Linked DNA regions of Callithrix jacchus. The protein of the gene in region 1 interacts with the protein of each later gene in a biochemical or structural test. Links are inferred from orthologs where the notes say so. Each region holds a gene or a part of one and is shown on either strand. Other genes may lie near its edges.

Evidence for each region. The genes of interacting proteins can lie anywhere in the genome.
Region 2: the proteins of KPNB1 (region 1) and KPNA3 form a complex in vitro, tested with the Homo sapiens proteins (2 studies listed by BioGRID and IntAct, with this or other methods). The link is inferred for Callithrix jacchus from reciprocal best matches to the Homo sapiens genes KPNB1 and KPNA3.

What each region holds. Positions count from the first base shown.
Region 1 is NC_133506.1:118,626,974-118,630,620, forward strand, and holds part of KPNB1 (importin subunit beta-1), read right to left. Parts: intron 2,764-3,647; coding exon 2,616-2,763; intron 2,327-2,615; coding exon 2,255-2,326; intron 553-2,254; coding exon 408-552; intron 1-407.
Region 2 is NC_133502.1:66,189,117-66,192,863, reverse strand, and holds the start of KPNA3 (importin subunit alpha-4), read right to left. Parts: upstream 2,423-3,747; 5' UTR 2,355-2,422; coding exon 2,286-2,354; intron 1-2,285. UniProt on the Homo sapiens protein: Functions in nuclear protein import as an adapter protein for nuclear receptor KPNB1. Binds specifically and directly to substrates containing either a simple or bipartite NLS motif.

The DNA.
Region 1 (3,647 bases):
GTGACTCATGCCCCAGTAGAAGGACTATGCTTTCTGTAGTTAAAAATCCTTTAACGTCCTGGCATGGTGGCTCACATCTATAATTCTAGCACTTTGGGAGGCTGAGGCAGAAGCATCACTTGACTCAGGAGTTTGAGACCAGCATGGGCAACACGGCGAAACCCCGTCTCTACCAAAAATATAAAAAATTAGCCAGGCATGGTGGTGTGCATCTGTAGTCTTAGCTACTGGTGTGTCGGGGGTGGGGGTGGGGGCTCAGGTGGAAGAATCACTTGATCCCAGGATGTGGAAGCTGCAGTGTGCCAAGATCATGATACGGCACTCCAGCCTGGGTGACAATTATTTAAGGCCACTGAAATGCCTGCATTCTAAAGACATTCCCTGACCAGACAGTATTTTTCACTGACCTTCCACCAGTGTGCTAACTGCCATCAGGGCATCCTCTTGTACTCCCCCAGAGCCAGCTGTGCTTTGGAACATCCTTAACAGGGAGGCCATGACCACATCAGAGATCTGCAATGCATCTTGATGTTGCACTTTCCGAAGAACATTCTGTGAAATGAGTAAGAGTTCAAGATCAGTTGATTCCCAATCTCCCAATCAGAACAGTATACCTTCTTTTTAAAAATCAATTAAGTCCTTTGACTTTCTTTTGTGAATGCCAAATGTACTTTTTATACTAAAAAACTCTGATAATACCAATCATTAACAATACTTTTTTTTTTTTTTTTTTTTTTTGAGATGCAGTTTAACTCGTCGCCCAGGCTGGAGTGCAATGGCGCAATCTCGACTCACCGCAACCTCAGCCTCCCGGGTTCAAGCAATTCTCCTGCCTCAGCCTCCCAAGTAGCTGGGATCACAGGCGCACACCACCACACCTGGCTGATTTTTTGTATTTTAATAGAGACAAAGTTTCCCCATGTTGGTCAGGCTGGTCTCGAACTCCCAATCTGAGCTGATCCGCCCACCTCAGCCTCCCAAAGTGCTGGGATTACAGGTATGAGCCACTGCACCCAGCCCTCTCCCTACTTTTTTGTTTTTAAGACAGAGTCTCACTCTGTTGCCCAGGCTGGAGTATAGTGGTGTTATCTTGGCTCACTGCAACCTCCGCCTCCCGGGTTCAAGCAATTCTTGTGCCTCAGTCTCCCAGTAGCTCGGATTACAGGCACACAACACACTGTGTCAAGCTAATTTTTGTATTTTTAGTAGAGACAGGGTTTTACCATGTTGGCCAGGCTGATCTCAAACTCTTGACCTCAGATATCTACCCACCTTGGCCTCCCAAAATGCTAGGATTACAGGGGTGAGCCACTGTGCCCAGCCAGCAATACATTTTAACATTCCCCAGTTTCTGAATTTCTCAATTCAGAACCAATGTGAGCTGATCCTCCATTGTGCAGAAGGTCATGTCTGCATTTTATTTGCCTTAGTGTCTGACAAATCCATGCTGGTAGCCTCCATAGTCTAGTCTTACTAGATAGTTAAATTACTTGAGCTTTAAAAAAGCCCTGTTACCTTAGAGCTCTTTTTAATAAAACAAACAAAAAGCAACCCTTCCTATATCCTACCCATTTACAGATGGTCTAGAAATAATCTTGATAAAAATCAAACCAACTTGACTTCTCTCAATTCAATATACATTCATCAAACATTCCTTCTTCTTGTTTCAATTAATGTCACTGACAATAGGTCAAACAGCAAATGTTTCAAAAGATGATGGTACAAACTCAAGGCTTTATTTTTAGTCAAGTGAACTATAGCTGGGAACCAAATATGACTGAGCTAGGCTCGAATAACTTAATTAAAAACCAAGAGTTCTTTTGGTTTTCAAAATCAAAAAACCAAAACCATTCAAGCTGTCAACACAAACCAGCTATACAGCTGGGAGGAACCATCAAACATCAAGTAGTTTACTTCTCTACACTGAGACATTAGTTGAAACAAACAAGAGTGAGGAAGGGAGGTTTGATGAGTGTACACTGAGTTGGGAGAAGTCAAGTTGATTTGAGTTTATCAAGATTATATCTAGACCATCTATAAATAAAGTAGGATTTGAATCTTTCTAGACAGTGAGGAAAGGCCGGTGGGAAATTCCTCTCCCAATTCATCAATCACAGACCAAAGTCTTCTGAGAACAGCTTCTGATCAGCATCATCGATACCATTTTTGAGTTCTGTGTATACATGAACTTGTCATACTGAGATATTAATTATCTTTCCTGGAGTTACTAAGAAATGATATAGCACCATAATACCTGAAGAGTTGCGCAGAGTAAAGACTGAAGGTCATTGAACTGGATTCTATCGGATGTGCTCTGGATATGTGACTACAAGGAAAAGAAGAAAACATACTCTACGTAACCATTCAATAATCTTCCCTAATGCCAACACAGGAAAGTAAACAACAACAACAAACCCACAATATATATAACACATGTCTGAGTAAACCATGACAAGCAATGCTAACGTTAAGGTGTAATTTTTTTTAAATAAACTTCATATCCTTCTGAGAAAATATATAAACACCAAAAAGACAGAACAGTCTGGAAAATAGACCTAGGTGTCCAAAGTACTGCCCTATTCCCACCCATAGTCAGGGGCCTTCTTAGGTCTCACCTCCATCTGAAGCACCTGCTGCAGTCGCTCCATGATGACCAAAGTCGTTTTCTGGACAGCAGGGTAACAATCCTTGGCACTGTTTTTCACAATTTCCATCAGAGATTCATATGCAGAACTCCTCAGGTTGTTCTGGTGTCCATCGGGTCTGTAAAGAACACAGCGAAAATCTTAAAGGCTCAACTGAGGGGAAAGGACAGAGAATAATACAGAGAATATAGACACTGTCTTGCCAGAAATAAGAACTCAGAAACTGGTATGACTGCAGACATGGTTTGAGTTTGGAAACACAATATCTAATAACCAAATCTTCAAGTCCTTTGAGCCAACAGTTATGTTCATTATGGTCTCCAGACAGCTAAAATTTAGAACGGTCCTTTAGGAAATGAGCTAAAATTACAGAGGGAAAAATGGTTTGAAATGGTAAAGAACCATGTTAACAATTTAACAGGTTGTCTGAATAGCTATGAAGAAAATACCCCAATTTTCTTGGGTACAGGTGACTCACACCTGTAATCCCAGAACTTAGGAGGCCGAGGTGGGCAGATCACCTGAGGTGTCAGGAGTTTGTGACCAGCCTGGCCAACATGGTGAAACCTCATCTCTACTGAAAGTATAAAAATTAGCCAGGCACATTGGTGGGCACCTGTAGTCCCAGCTATGTGGGAGGCTGAGGTATGAGAATCACTCGAACCTGGGAGGTTGCAGTTAGCCAAGATCACACCATTGCACTCCAGCCTCGGTGACAGGAGCGTGACTCTGTCTCAAAAACTAAAGGAAAAAAAAAAACATTTTGTGCTCAGCTCCCTTCCTGAAGGTTTACTTTGTTCATGACTTTAGGTATAGCTGACATAAAGCATGAATCATTAAAGGTTGTCTCCAACTTATAATCCCCTTTAAACAACATTTCAAAAGCTTGTTTATAAGTCAACTGTATTCACCCCAAGTTCTTGATCCCATATAAAAATATGGTAGTTGTCGGGGAAATTAGCTGGCTATGGTGGTGTGTGCCTGTAATCCCAGCTACTCAGG
Region 2 (3,747 bases), on another chromosome or scaffold:
TGACTTGCACAGGCTACATAAGCACACTGAGGTTTTGCATCTAAAGTTCCATCTGGGTGTGATAGCTCAGCATCTGCAGTCCCAACACTTTGGGAGGCTGAAGTGGGGGAATCACTGGAGCCCAAGAGTTCAAGACAAGCTTGGGCAACAAAGACCCCATCTCTACAAAAAATTAAAAATTAGCCAGGTGTGGTGCTGTCCACCTGTAGTCCCAGCTACTTGGGAGGCCACAGTGGGAAGATTCCTTGAGCCTAGAAGTTTAAGCTTGCAGCTGAGCTAATGAGTGCCTGAGTACTCCAACCTAAGTAACTGAAGAAGACTCTGTCTCAAAAAATACTTTCCTCATGTAAAGTAGGGATAACGCCACTCCTAACTCATACACTTGTTGCACAGATTAAACAAGGTATCCTGAAACTCTTAACACAGCATCTGCCACAATAGAACTACCATTCGCATGTCTATTTCATGTCTTAAGTTACCCTATAGAATCCCAAGAAATGTAGTGTTGTGACCAATACCAGGCTGAATGGCTTAGCAACCATGCTCTTTTTCATGCATCTAAAAGTTACTGGTTACTTGTTATCATCAGCAAATATTTGTTGTGTACCTAGTATGTGCAGGAGTCCTTACTAAGTATCACTGAATTACCAGAACAGCGTAATAGAGGTAAACAATGAAACAAAAACCTGTACCAATATCCAAGAGCAGAAAAAATGTTATTGGTTTTAAAGTACAAACAATATGAGTATTTTTCAATAAACTTTTATTTGAAACGAGGTAGACCTCAAGAATGGGAAAAGTTCAAAATTAACACTTATCATCAGGACAGGAGGCAGTTCCAAAATTTCTTGTTCCTATTCCTAAGTTTCACTTTTGCTTAGATTTCTCTCTCACAAGGAGTATTTAACCATGACCAGGAAAGAATACATGATCTTTATTTGACTCATTCAAATGGGAATTCCACGGATATCTCCCCAGGTTTTTTCTACTAGTATTTAATTTTGTAGCTCTGAAAAACAGCCTGAGTTTGTTTCTCTACAAAATAGAACGCTGAATGGTATATACAACCCACCACCTTCCTTAGGACAGGATAAAATACTCACCTCTTAATCACACTAGCCTCTTAGCAAAAACTACAAAACTGCATATCATGTCACCCAGTATTAGAAAAGAAGGCTGTAGCCTTAAACCATTTTCCCCCTAACAAATCCAAAGGTCACAGGCCCAGTGAAGTTTGTGCATGTACTCATTGCTTTCAGCAGCTGCAGAGAGACCTCTAGCGCTGCCTCAATAAGCCGAGTTTGCAAATAGTACCTGCTAATGTCACCTTAATGAGACAATGGCAACATGCTGAGTAGCAACGAACTGAGTGACCGCGATGAACGCTTAGTTTTGCAACCACTTGGAAATTCTACTAGCTTGTAGCAAGAGGTATGTGAGAGGACTTATGAACCTATGTATCCAATTTATTTCAGTAAAATGTGTCAAAGAAATTATCACCCTATGCACACCCTACTCCAAGAAAGGCTAAGAAAATAAGTCCTGTGAGCGGAGGTCGGAACAACCTCTTTTCCAACGCCTGAACACAATAGATGGCAAACTATTGTCCACCTTCAGCTCGCTCCAAATACCAGCAGTTGCAGGAGTATGAGCTGGAACAGCTCGGCACGACTAGACCAAAGAACAGCACTGGAATATAAGAAAATAGTCCTGGCGCATCCTACCCTCCCCCATCCATCACCCTCAAACAAGTCAGTTACCCGGCTGGTCCCCACCCCCCTCTGCGGGCCGCCACCGCCCGCCAAGGCCCGGCTCCCAGAAGGTAGGAGCCGGGACCGGCAGAGCCGAGGCTCCATGCGCGGGAGGCACCGAGGGGGCTGCACCGGGCGGAAGGTTGCACTGGCGGGCGCCAGCAGCAACCGCCCCTCGACTGTGCGGTCGTCGGCCCGGGGCGGCAGCATCCCCGTTCGTCCGCGCGGCCACCGCCCGCGGACCCCGCCTCAGCTCCTCATCCCCTCCTCGCCGACATCAGGCCGCGCCCGCGTGACAGGGCCGAAAACCCCGGCATTTCCCGGTCGCCGGGCCGGCAGCTCTGGAGGGTGGCTGCAGCCCCGCCCGCGTCCCGCCGCCCGCTCCGCCCAGCCCGGGGCCACGGTGACGGGAGGCGGCGGCCAACTCCGGCCGACCACAAGCTGGCGAGAACCAGCCCGGCGCCGGCCCTCCGCCCCTCCTCGCGTCGCCCAGCGGAGCGGCCAGGCGGCCCCAGATCGCGGAAGCACACTCACTTCCACATCGCGGCCCTTGTTCTTGAAGCTCTTGATGCGGTGGTTCTCCAAGCTAGGGTTCTCGGCCATGGCTGCGCGCGGCTCCGGCGGCGGCTACTCCTGAGGCTGCGGCGGCGGCGACGAGTCTCGGCGCGGGCGGGGGAAGAGGGGGAGAGCTGGAGGGAAAGGAGGTGGGGGGGAAGAGGAGAGCACGTTCCGTGACGCCTCCGAGCGCGAGGTGGCAGTAGCGCCGGGGGAGGCGCGGACCGATAGCCGGGCCGGGTGGGGCGGGAACGGTTCTAAGAGTGGCGCGCGCCCGCGGAGGCTGGCGACACGTGACTGGGGGCGGCGACCGGTTTGGGCGTTTTCGGGATGACCCTGCCCTCCTTCCCTGCAAGAGCTCTCCACAACCTCACGGTGCCGCAAGTCCTGTGCCAGAAATGGAACGGGACTTCGCGGCTTTTACCGCCCCTCAGGTGCGGGTTGGCGGTCGTCAACTACAGTTCCCAGCATGCCACGATCCGCCCGGAGCAATTCTACTTGCCTAGGGAGGACGAGGAGCATGCCGGGATCGCTGCGCGCGGCTGTTTGCGCGGCGCGCTCATATTGCTGGGCGCGAAGTCCCCCCCAACGACCCAAGTCCGCCTCTAGGCGGGGAAGAGGTAGGAGGTATCCTGGCACTTTGTGCCCTATCAGGAGGAAGAGGGCGGGGTTTCCTGGGAGCGCATCTCGCTGCCTGTAGCTAGAAAATCAGAAAAAGAACAACCGCTGGTGCTTCACTGTCTCGCTGTTTTGTGGGGGTCTCCTCAAATAGCAGCCACCTTCATTCACTGTTCCCATGCTCTGCTTCAGTTTTATAAATAGCACTTATTTCTACCTGACATGTACGTAAGTATCTATGAGATATAAGTGCAAGTGTTTATGTGCGTTACCTGGCTGCCCGCACGGGGCATTCAGCTCAATGAGAGCAGGTACTTTCGTTGAATTGCTGCTGAATCTCTAGTGTCAAAACAATGCCTAGCGCGTTGTAGATACTCAATAAATACTTGTTGAACGCCAGCTCAACAACGACACTTTAGTGTCGCCCAGTTTCTTCATCATCCTCCCAAGCCAGGTTCTGCAACCTTCACTCTGGCAGTTCCTGCGTTTCCATGCCCCCAATTCTTCTTTTTCTACCACCACACATAATCTTAGCCCTCAGGCAGCAGTGAAGCCCTGGGCCGCAGACTCTCCCGTGTAGCACTCCCACTCCCCACCGGGGGCGTGGAAGGAATGATGGAGGGAAATTTGGATAAATTACACTAATAAAGAGCTGCTTTGGCCGGGCGCGGTGGCTCACGCCTGTAATCCCAGCACTTTGGGAGTTCGAGGCGGGCAGATCATGAGGTCAAGAGTTTGAGACCAGCCTTGCCAACATGTTGAAACCACGTCTCCACAGAAAATACAAAAATCAGCCAGGCGTGGCGGCACGTGCCTGTAGTCC